Linked DNA regions of Drosophila melanogaster. The protein of the gene in region 1 interacts with the protein of each later gene in a pairwise test. Each region holds a gene or a part of one and is shown in the gene's direction. Other genes may lie near its edges. The genes, in order: CG43689 and c-cup.

Evidence for each region.
Region 2: the proteins of CG43689 (region 1) and c-cup interact in a two-hybrid assay, tested with the Drosophila melanogaster proteins (one large-scale study listed by BioGRID).

Annotation. Positions count from the first base shown.
Region 1 is NC_004354.4:4,073,828-4,079,084, forward strand, and holds the start of CG43689 (uncharacterized protein), read left to right. Parts: upstream 1-2,150; 5' UTR 2,151-2,599; intron 2,600-4,047; 5' UTR 4,048-4,088; coding exon 4,089-5,257.
Region 2 is NT_033779.5:1,831,089-1,834,734, reverse strand, and holds c-cup (calcutta cup), read left to right. Parts: upstream 1-2,169; 5' UTR 2,170-2,280; coding exon 2,281-2,311; intron 2,312-2,368; coding exon 2,369-2,943; 3' UTR 2,944-3,108; downstream 3,109-3,646.

The DNA of each region.
Region 1 (5,257 bases):
GCTGAGCCGCGGCCTTCCGCCCCCTTTTCCCGCCCACGCCACACCCCTTTCTGCATATTTTGCCTACACTTGGCCTGTGGCACAACTCAGCGGAGTCGGATACTGTGGAAAGAAAGACTTTAAAATCTTTGGGCAAATTGAATTCCCTACAAAATAAAACCAATAGTATTACATTTCTTTGCCCAATTTCATTTGGCCAAGCTTAGTTAATTACCAATATATGTACTGTAATTTTGGACAGTGCAGCACGCAGGAACGCAATTTTAGACGAATGGCAATCCTCCCCATCCAAGGTTGGCCCATCCCGCCCACAAAATAACCGCGACCGCTTGGAAATAAGAGAAATCATTTGCGTTTTTGCGTTTACGCAAGGCACGGGTTCCGAGCTGCTAATCCCCACCCCTCTCCACCGCCAGCATCATCATTCCGAAAAGAAACCCCTTCTTGGCGGCATACATATATAGAATCCATCCTTCCTGATCCCAAGCTGCAGATTCCCATCAGCTTTGTGCTCTGCACTCGTCTTGTCTTAATGTTGACTTTTCCATTTGCCTAGGCAATTTGTGGCACTGTTTTTTCCGCTTCTTCAGCGGGTTTTTTTCCTATTTTCTTATTTTTCTTTTTTGCTTTCTTTGAACCCGTCTTCTGGCGTCTTCTGCGAATATCCTGCGGGCTTTGTTTGCGCCTGTATTTGTTTAAGCTGCACATGTCTGCGTGTGCTGACTGTGTGTGTAAGTGTGTGTGAGTGTGTGCACGGTGTTTGCTTACATGTGTAAATTACTTTTCAATCTTGTGATTACTTTTTTCCACATTTAATTATTTTAATTACGACCCAGCGCACACAAGCAGCTTCCGCATCTTCGTTTGCGCCACCGAAAACCCTTTTTCCTGCGACCGGTTCAAAGAACCCGAATGGCGGCTCCCAAATGCCAACTTCCCCTCAACGTCACCTTGCTCCACTTGAAACTTGAACTTGGTGGAGCCTAAACTATTCATAAAGAAATTGTATCCCCATCAAGACGACTTTTGCTAACGAAATATTGAATAAATATTTCGTTTATTTGAGAACAAAAAATAACTTTTTGGCCAACTTCAAATGAATAAACTATCTAAATTCTAGATAGATGCATTTTATTGCGATCATTATAGCCTTGGCTGAGCTAAGTAACATGAACTCTTAGAAATAAAAAATCAATCCCTAAACATAGCTCCATTCAATATCCCATTGCTTAATGTTATTTGTTGACTTTGGAGTATCTTAATCACTGAACTGCAAAAAAAAAGGCACACATTCGCGCACTAAACCAACCAGCTGTGAATTTTCGGTTGCAGTGGTGATTGATGGATTGATGACGGCGGCACATGATGGATTCGCCGATTCTCGTTGCGATCGGCAGGCGGATGTGAATGTGGATGTGGATGTGACCTGAATCACCTGCTGGCAAATGCGTCAGATGGCGCTAATGGATTTGCTAGCCTGGATCGCAATCAATGCAGGTGAATTCTGGCATCTGGATCCGAATCTTCAGCGATCTTAGCTGGGCGATGGACGACGGACTGCCGTCCACGGAGCAAATCCCTGCACTTGAGTCGTCGACGGGATAAAGTCATTTGTGGGCTGCTGCCGACGTCGCTGCTCCGAGAGGATATCCTCGAAGTCCTCCGAAAAAGCCGCCCCGTTTCGGCCACGACTTTTCCATCGGCCTTTCGGAAAACAGGGGGGGTGGACGGCGAACAGGACGAGCTCCAGTGCGCCGACTCGTCAGACTGTTATACTGTCATACAGTGCTGGCCAGGGGATGAGTACATCGGCACTTCGGGTTTTTACTCCGAAAACGGCGACTGCGACGGCGACTGTGACGTCGACTGCAATTTTCAGTGCGTTCGAAAGTTCGACAACTTTGGAAAACTGTCAGTTGGCAGCGAACTTAGAACAGGTAGAGACGCACGTTCCGCCTGGAAAATCGGTACAGAAACGGAACAGGCTAGAAAGGAACATATATTGCCCCAAAACCTCAACGACACACCGTATTGGGAAAGCCGAACGCTTTTTTTTTTTTTTGTACCGTTTTGGCGCTCGGAAAACGTGCGTCGACGTCGACAGCGACTGAAAGACGGCGACTGAAACGGCGACGATGTAAAATTTTATTACCCCAAACGCATCGAGCAGTCGGGTTTTGGACGTCCGGACTTCACCGCCGCTCGCTGCGACGCAGACTTTTATTGCAGCTGCCATATAGAGTGGGTATATTCCATTGGTCTGGCCCCGGAGATCCCAAAAACTTTCTGAAGACGGACACAAACTTTTACCAGAGTGCGGCATAAAAGTGCAAAAGTTTTTGTTCGCAGCGCCCAACGAACTAAAAGCAAAACTTCCCAGCCGCCGCGCAAAAACCCCCTTCACAAATAAGTGAAATAAAAACAAAGTCAAACCCAGTGCAATGCAAAACAAAAGCCCACGAGTATAAAACCAAAAAACAAATGCGAAAAAAGTGCGTGATCTAATTGACATCAAGTATACGCCACGTTAGCCGGCCTAAGTTTACCAAAACAATAAACATTTTTCGTAGACACATCACCGCCGTCGCGTTGACAAAAAGTGAGTTAAGTGTTTGATTGTTTGTTTGATTTTTGTTACTGTTTAAACAGTTTTAGTTTCGTTAGTTTTTTGTGTTGGTGAGACATATCCTATATAAGAATATACATAAAACATATAGTGTTTGTGTGGAACAAGAAATCGCAACAGCAACGCTATCAGCCAGCAGCCACATCACATTATCAGCAAAGCAAACAAAAAGATACAAACAAAGGCCATAACCGAATGGTCAGCCAATAAGTGCAGAGTGTTTAAATAAATTAAATTAAATCAAAGCAAATTAATAACAAAATCGAAATCGATATCGATCGTAAATCGCAATCGTAATCGCTAAGACAACAAAATCGAAACAGAATTCGCCAAATAGGTAAAGTTCATATATAAGTATTTGAATCTTGTAATATCCCCAATAGAACTTGCAAATTTTCGTATCGAACTGATAACTGACAGTCTATAATTATATATAGGAATATATATAAATATATATATATACATAAATATTGTGTACACTATATACCATGCTGATCCTCACCCAGACCCGCCCCCCTGCCCCTGTGAAGGCATAAATTTCGAAACGAAAAAAGAAAGAAAAAAAACAACCAGAACGAGAAATTAAACAAATGAATAATAACCAAACAGGAAAACAAAAACAAATAGTATACAAGTACAAGAAATTCAATGCAACAAGAATAATCACATTGAGAATATGACTAACAAAATTGAAAATTGATCTAGCGCAAATCTCGAGTTTCGACTCGATATTATCCTAACCATTTAGATGGGAAGCTGCTTATGTCACGTACCCACCCACTAACTAAAAATCATTTTATTCCCATGCTTTATAGGCGACATAGAATAATGAATGTTTGCAGCGCGAACTTCTACGGCTTAATATTATTTTGTAATATTCTTTAAAATCATAAGACTAGCCCATTTTGTATAAAAGTTTTCCAAAGACATTATTAATAGTTTATGGATTATTATTTTATGTTACCATTAAGTTGAGCACAATTAAGCAGACGATTCTAGCAATAAACCAAATTTATGACGACAACAAAACATTAAGCAACTGACAAAATACTAGTAGTTTTTGCTAAATTTTAGATGTTAGTTGCAAAACGCTTAACGCTTATTATGATTTAAAAGGTGGGCTTGTAAACAAAAATTACTTTGGTTTAACGATATTTGTTTATCAAAACACTTTATTCTTTCCGTTGAAAACAAACTGGCGATGGTATTAGTTTTGTTATTATAGAGCTTGTTTACTGAAAATGGTTTCGATTTTGTTAAGTCTGGTGATATTGGAGTAAAATAAGTGTGGATTTCGGTTGCTGAAGCTGAAAAATGATAATGTTGCAAAGGTGGTGCATCCACACAAACGTCATCCACTTCTGCCTACAGAAAACAACCACAATATTGCTTACGTTTCGTTTGACTTTTCACCTGATCAGCGGAGCCAAAGAGCCGGAAACACGGAATAGCCACCGGGAAAATGGCGCTTTCCAAGCGGCCCCTTACAAAGGACACGCCGTTGTCCGAAAGCAATGGCAACCACACCAATGGCAATGATCACGAGACATCCATCAAGCGGCGCAAACGTTGCAGTCGTGACGACGACTCCAGCCTGATCAACAACAACAACAATAATAATAATAACAACAACAACAACAACAATAACAACAGCAATAGCAACAACAACAATTTGCCGCAGAAGAAACGCAAACAAGGCGGCCAGGGCCACATCGCAGACAGTCCGGAGAGCCCCACATGCGGTTCACTGCCCACTCCGCTGGCCAAAAGCAACACGGATGCGGATCAGGACGATGAGACACTCATCCGCGAAACACAGGCGGCGCTGAAAAGCCTATCGGGCAGCTGGCCCGACTCAAGGGGGAATTTGTATCGGCTGCAGGAGCAGGACGAGAATCCACCGCCCTTCCAGAATCTGTTCGAGGAGAAACAAAAGTATGAGGCCATTGGCAATCCCAGCCATGCCATACAAGCACAAGCCAGCTCACCAAATCCCAATTCCACACTCTTCTCACGTTTCCACAGACAAAAAGAGAACGACCAGGCGCGCCTGAATGCAGCCAGCGGTGCTGGTGGTGTCGTCCATCTGGAGGCACAGGGGCGCGGCAAAAAGACGCCCGATGAGGATCAGGATCCGGAACTGGAAGATACCTCATCTTCCGCCTCGGGACAAGGCGTTTACACGCAAGCGGCCTCGGCCTTTAAGCCGCCCATCGATATCATCAAACGGAATTATGTGGCCGCCGCTCATGCCCATTATAGTGCCTATAATGCGGCCGCTGCAGCGGAATCTGCCGCCGGATTGGCTTACTATGGCTATGCCGCTGCCGCCGCCGCTAGTCAACAACAACAACAGCAGCAGCAGCAGCACCAACAACAGCAGCATCAGCAACTGAGTACCGCCTTCGATATTGCCAGTCAGCTGGGCGAGAAGCAGCGGCCCAAGGAACCGATGGCCGATGGCAAACAGTACACGATTCTCCAGCCGGCGGGCATCGGCAGTCGGGCTGCATCTGTTATGCAGGACATAGCATCGCGTGAAGGCGTTGTGGGCGTTCCGCTCGTGGCAACGCCACCATCAACAGCGGCCGGCAGTCCGGCGGCAGCGGTACCAGCGGCAGGACCATCGAC
Region 2 (3,646 bases), on another chromosome or scaffold:
TTGGGCCCAGTTTTGTTGATTTTTATTCTCGTTATTCCCCTATTTTTCTGTACTTTTTCTATGCTTTTTCTGTACTTGTTCTGCACTTTTTATTTATGGTTAGTGCAGCAAAATATTTCAGCATCAGGCGTATAACCAAAGTGCCGAGTGTGAGGGCGGCATCGGGCCAAAAACTATGTGGGTGATTTTTATGGCTTTGCCTTGCCTCTCAGTTCAATGAATAAATCATTGGACGCCAAGGGGATTGGTTGGGACTTTGCAATATGGAGTGGGACTCTCTGGTAATGTTTGATAATATTTTATGGAAATATTTGTACTCGTTTTGGCTTTGAATAAATGTGTTGAGAGTCGTACATTTTAAAGAAGTTTGGTAATAATTGAATGTTTCAATACGACCGGAGCCAAATGAACAATTGTAAATGATTCAAGGAAACCCCTATTTAAGTTGTTTATGTCTGAACCCTTTATCGTTTCCCTCTTTTTCAAAGTCTATCCCATTAGCAGAAAATCCCAGAACCTTCGCAGGCCTGCAGCAAAGTAAACTAAGCAAATCTGCTGGCATTCTAATCCTTTTGAAATTTGCTTTAATTAACTCGAATAATAAGCAGCATCCGCATACTTTGTACTGCTCCTTCTGCCGGAGCCTTTTTATCCTGTTCGTGGGCTTATGAGCTTTGGCACTTTGTGGTTGAAATTTTGTGATTCCTTTTTTTTTTCTGGCATTCGGATTTCCGACATTTGCCAAAGCAAATTTCAGCGGAGCGGGACTAATAAGCCAAACAAGAGACAGTGGAAAGGGGGCGGGAGGAAAAGGGGCGCGGCTGGCAGACAAAGTTAATACGACACAGCTGCCCTCGCGGTTGGTGGGCAATTGAAAAGTTTATTAATAACCCGCAGAACGGCAGTGGCAGCCATACGAACTTTAAAGAGACTGCTGCTCTTTTTTATTTGTATGATTTTTATTTTTAATTAAAAGAAGGCAAGGCTGAGCGGTAGCGAGTGCGGTCCAAGGGATATGTAATTACATTTGAACAGCATGCGAAATATGTTTTAATTTATTAAATTAAAATAAGCGAAAAAGAGCTGGAATGAAGGAAAAATAACAAAAACACGACAACAGGCAAAGGAAGCAACCAGCCGCAAACCGAGTGCCCAAAGCAATTTGAACCAACGTCACACGCGGCGTATGCGTAATGTGCTCGCAACAAAATCAACGTTATGCAAATTTTAATGCGAGCATAAGGCGGAAACGAAACGGCGCTACGCTTGCCAGTTTCTCCTGAATCCTGTTACGAGAATCGCCAGGGTATTGCCAGGGCATGATGGTGCCACATATAGTAAGTCATTCAAGCTGACCACATGACAACACTTGGAAATGTCACTATAAGCATAATAAATAAATACTTAAAATATTGCCAACATTTCAGTGCACAGCGTAATTTATAAAGCAATAATGCCATATTTTATATAAACTACTATTGTGGGAGCTCAATTACCGTAAGAGCCACAACAAACCAATTTCAGCTTTCCGAGCAATTGAACAATCCGAGGGTATCGTTTAAATCCGACCCAAATCAGCGCAGGACTCCTTCGTCCTGGCAGTCGCCCTGCAGTTGTACTTGTATTTACATAAGCGTCCGTATGTATTTCTCCCAGAGCACTCGCCTGGCGCAAAATTACACTTTGTTGGCGAGACACACACACTCACATGCTCATACGCACACATCGTGGCGCAAAAAATTGTAATGAGCTTATTAAGTCATATTAAAGTCCAAGTACAGCCAATTTGATAAAAACAGCAACTGACAGCAGACTGGCAATGTTTTCATGCGACATTTTTTTACGATAGCATTTGGCATTAATGGTAATAGCAAATGGCGTAGACACACGCTGTAGCTATGTACGTTACACTCGAAGAAAATCAATATTTTAATGAGTAAGCAACCAAAAGGGTTGATGCACGTATAAATAGATGTTGAAGAAATATATAAATAATAACTTAATAACTTTGTCTTGCTAGAAATGAATAGTACTGAATTTCTTTAAGTGCATGTAATTTATATGACTGATGTAAATGAGCTCGGCAGCAGGTGGCTTAACATTTTTATTCGCTCCGCACTGCGGTAAATTGTTGTTAACTCGGCTTAATTGAGTATGATCAAATTGCCGCTGATTTTGCACTCGAATATATTTCGACTGAACTTTCAAAATTCATGAAATGCTGAGCACGAAAACAACTTAAACAGAGTCAATTATATAGTTTATGGAAAAGTCGTAAAAATGCCGATACTTGGACAAATGTTTCCTGCAAGTAAGTAATGTTATTAAGTAGTAGATAATTACGTAACGCACTCACTTCATCCTCTAGAGCTGGGTCCCAATTTGATGACAGCCTCCAAAGTGCTAAAAAGTCCTCTTGGCCAGGCGTTAGTCTCCTTTTTGGTTGGCTACTTTGTCACCACAAAGTTGTCGCAATTTTATGGCAAATTCAAGAGGGACTCTGAGAAATCCGATGAGTCGACGCAGTACTTGGACATGTACCCCAGGAAAGAGAGTCAGCCAAAGGACACCAAAGGACACGATATCGTTCTGCTCACTCTGGAGGAGCTAACTGCCTTCGATGGCTCGAGTCCCAGTCTACCCATTTACACCGCTCTGAATGGCCTCATATACGATCTGAGTCCGGGCCGAGAAAAGTTCAGCAGTCACGGTCCGTACTCCCTATTGGCCGGTTGCAATGCCAACAAGGTCCTGAACATTGCCTGCAGTTCCATGGGCGTCTGCGCTGCGAACGTAATAAGTCGCTGGGAGCAGAGCCTAAGAGCCGAATTTAAAGTCGTAGGATATTTAGTCGATGCTGATATAGATATTATTAGCGGTAGTCCAGTCAAACATACAAATTCGGCCATAGGGGAGCAAATGGAGAAGAGTGATATCGTTTAAGATGCTGTGAATATCCCGTTTTCTTAGCTTGGCAATAAAATATTATTCACAGAAACTAGTAATTTACTTCCAAGCTAACTGAAGGGGATATTCAGTGCAACCACGGACTAAAAATGCGTTTGGAAAAATTACATGTAACTTGTAGAATAAACAAAATTATTGAAGATATCTTTTAGCTTCATGAGCGAATATTTTCCAAAGGTTTTAGGTTGCCAAACAAATGATCGACTATTTCTTTTACAATCTCCTCCAGCCTGAGATTAAATTAATTCTGTCCTTCTTTTTTTTTGCCGTTTGACCGAGCTCTTGGCATTTGGAAAGCCGGAAAGTTTTTCCGCCTTTGTCTTGCGCTTTTTTCCCCAGCGGTTCGGTTCGACAGGAAAATATCGACAACGGCAAATGTCGATAACAACAAATTGTTTGTCGTGTTTTCCTTTTTACTTGGCACTTTTTGCCCATCAAGCTGTTGACTTTGTCAAGTTGTCGCCGAATTTTCAGGGCTTCGGGGTGATTCGGGTTTCCCATTGTGCCGGTGTATGTGTGTGGAAAAACTTTGCGCCAAACACGCAATTGACTTAAATTGAATTGAAAGCTGAATTCTGAGAGCTGAGAGCTGAAAGCCAAGAAGTGACAAAGCGGGCGGGAAAGCAGAAGGAATGCCGTCAGGTGCTACACAGCTAATAAAATCAAAATTACTTTTCGC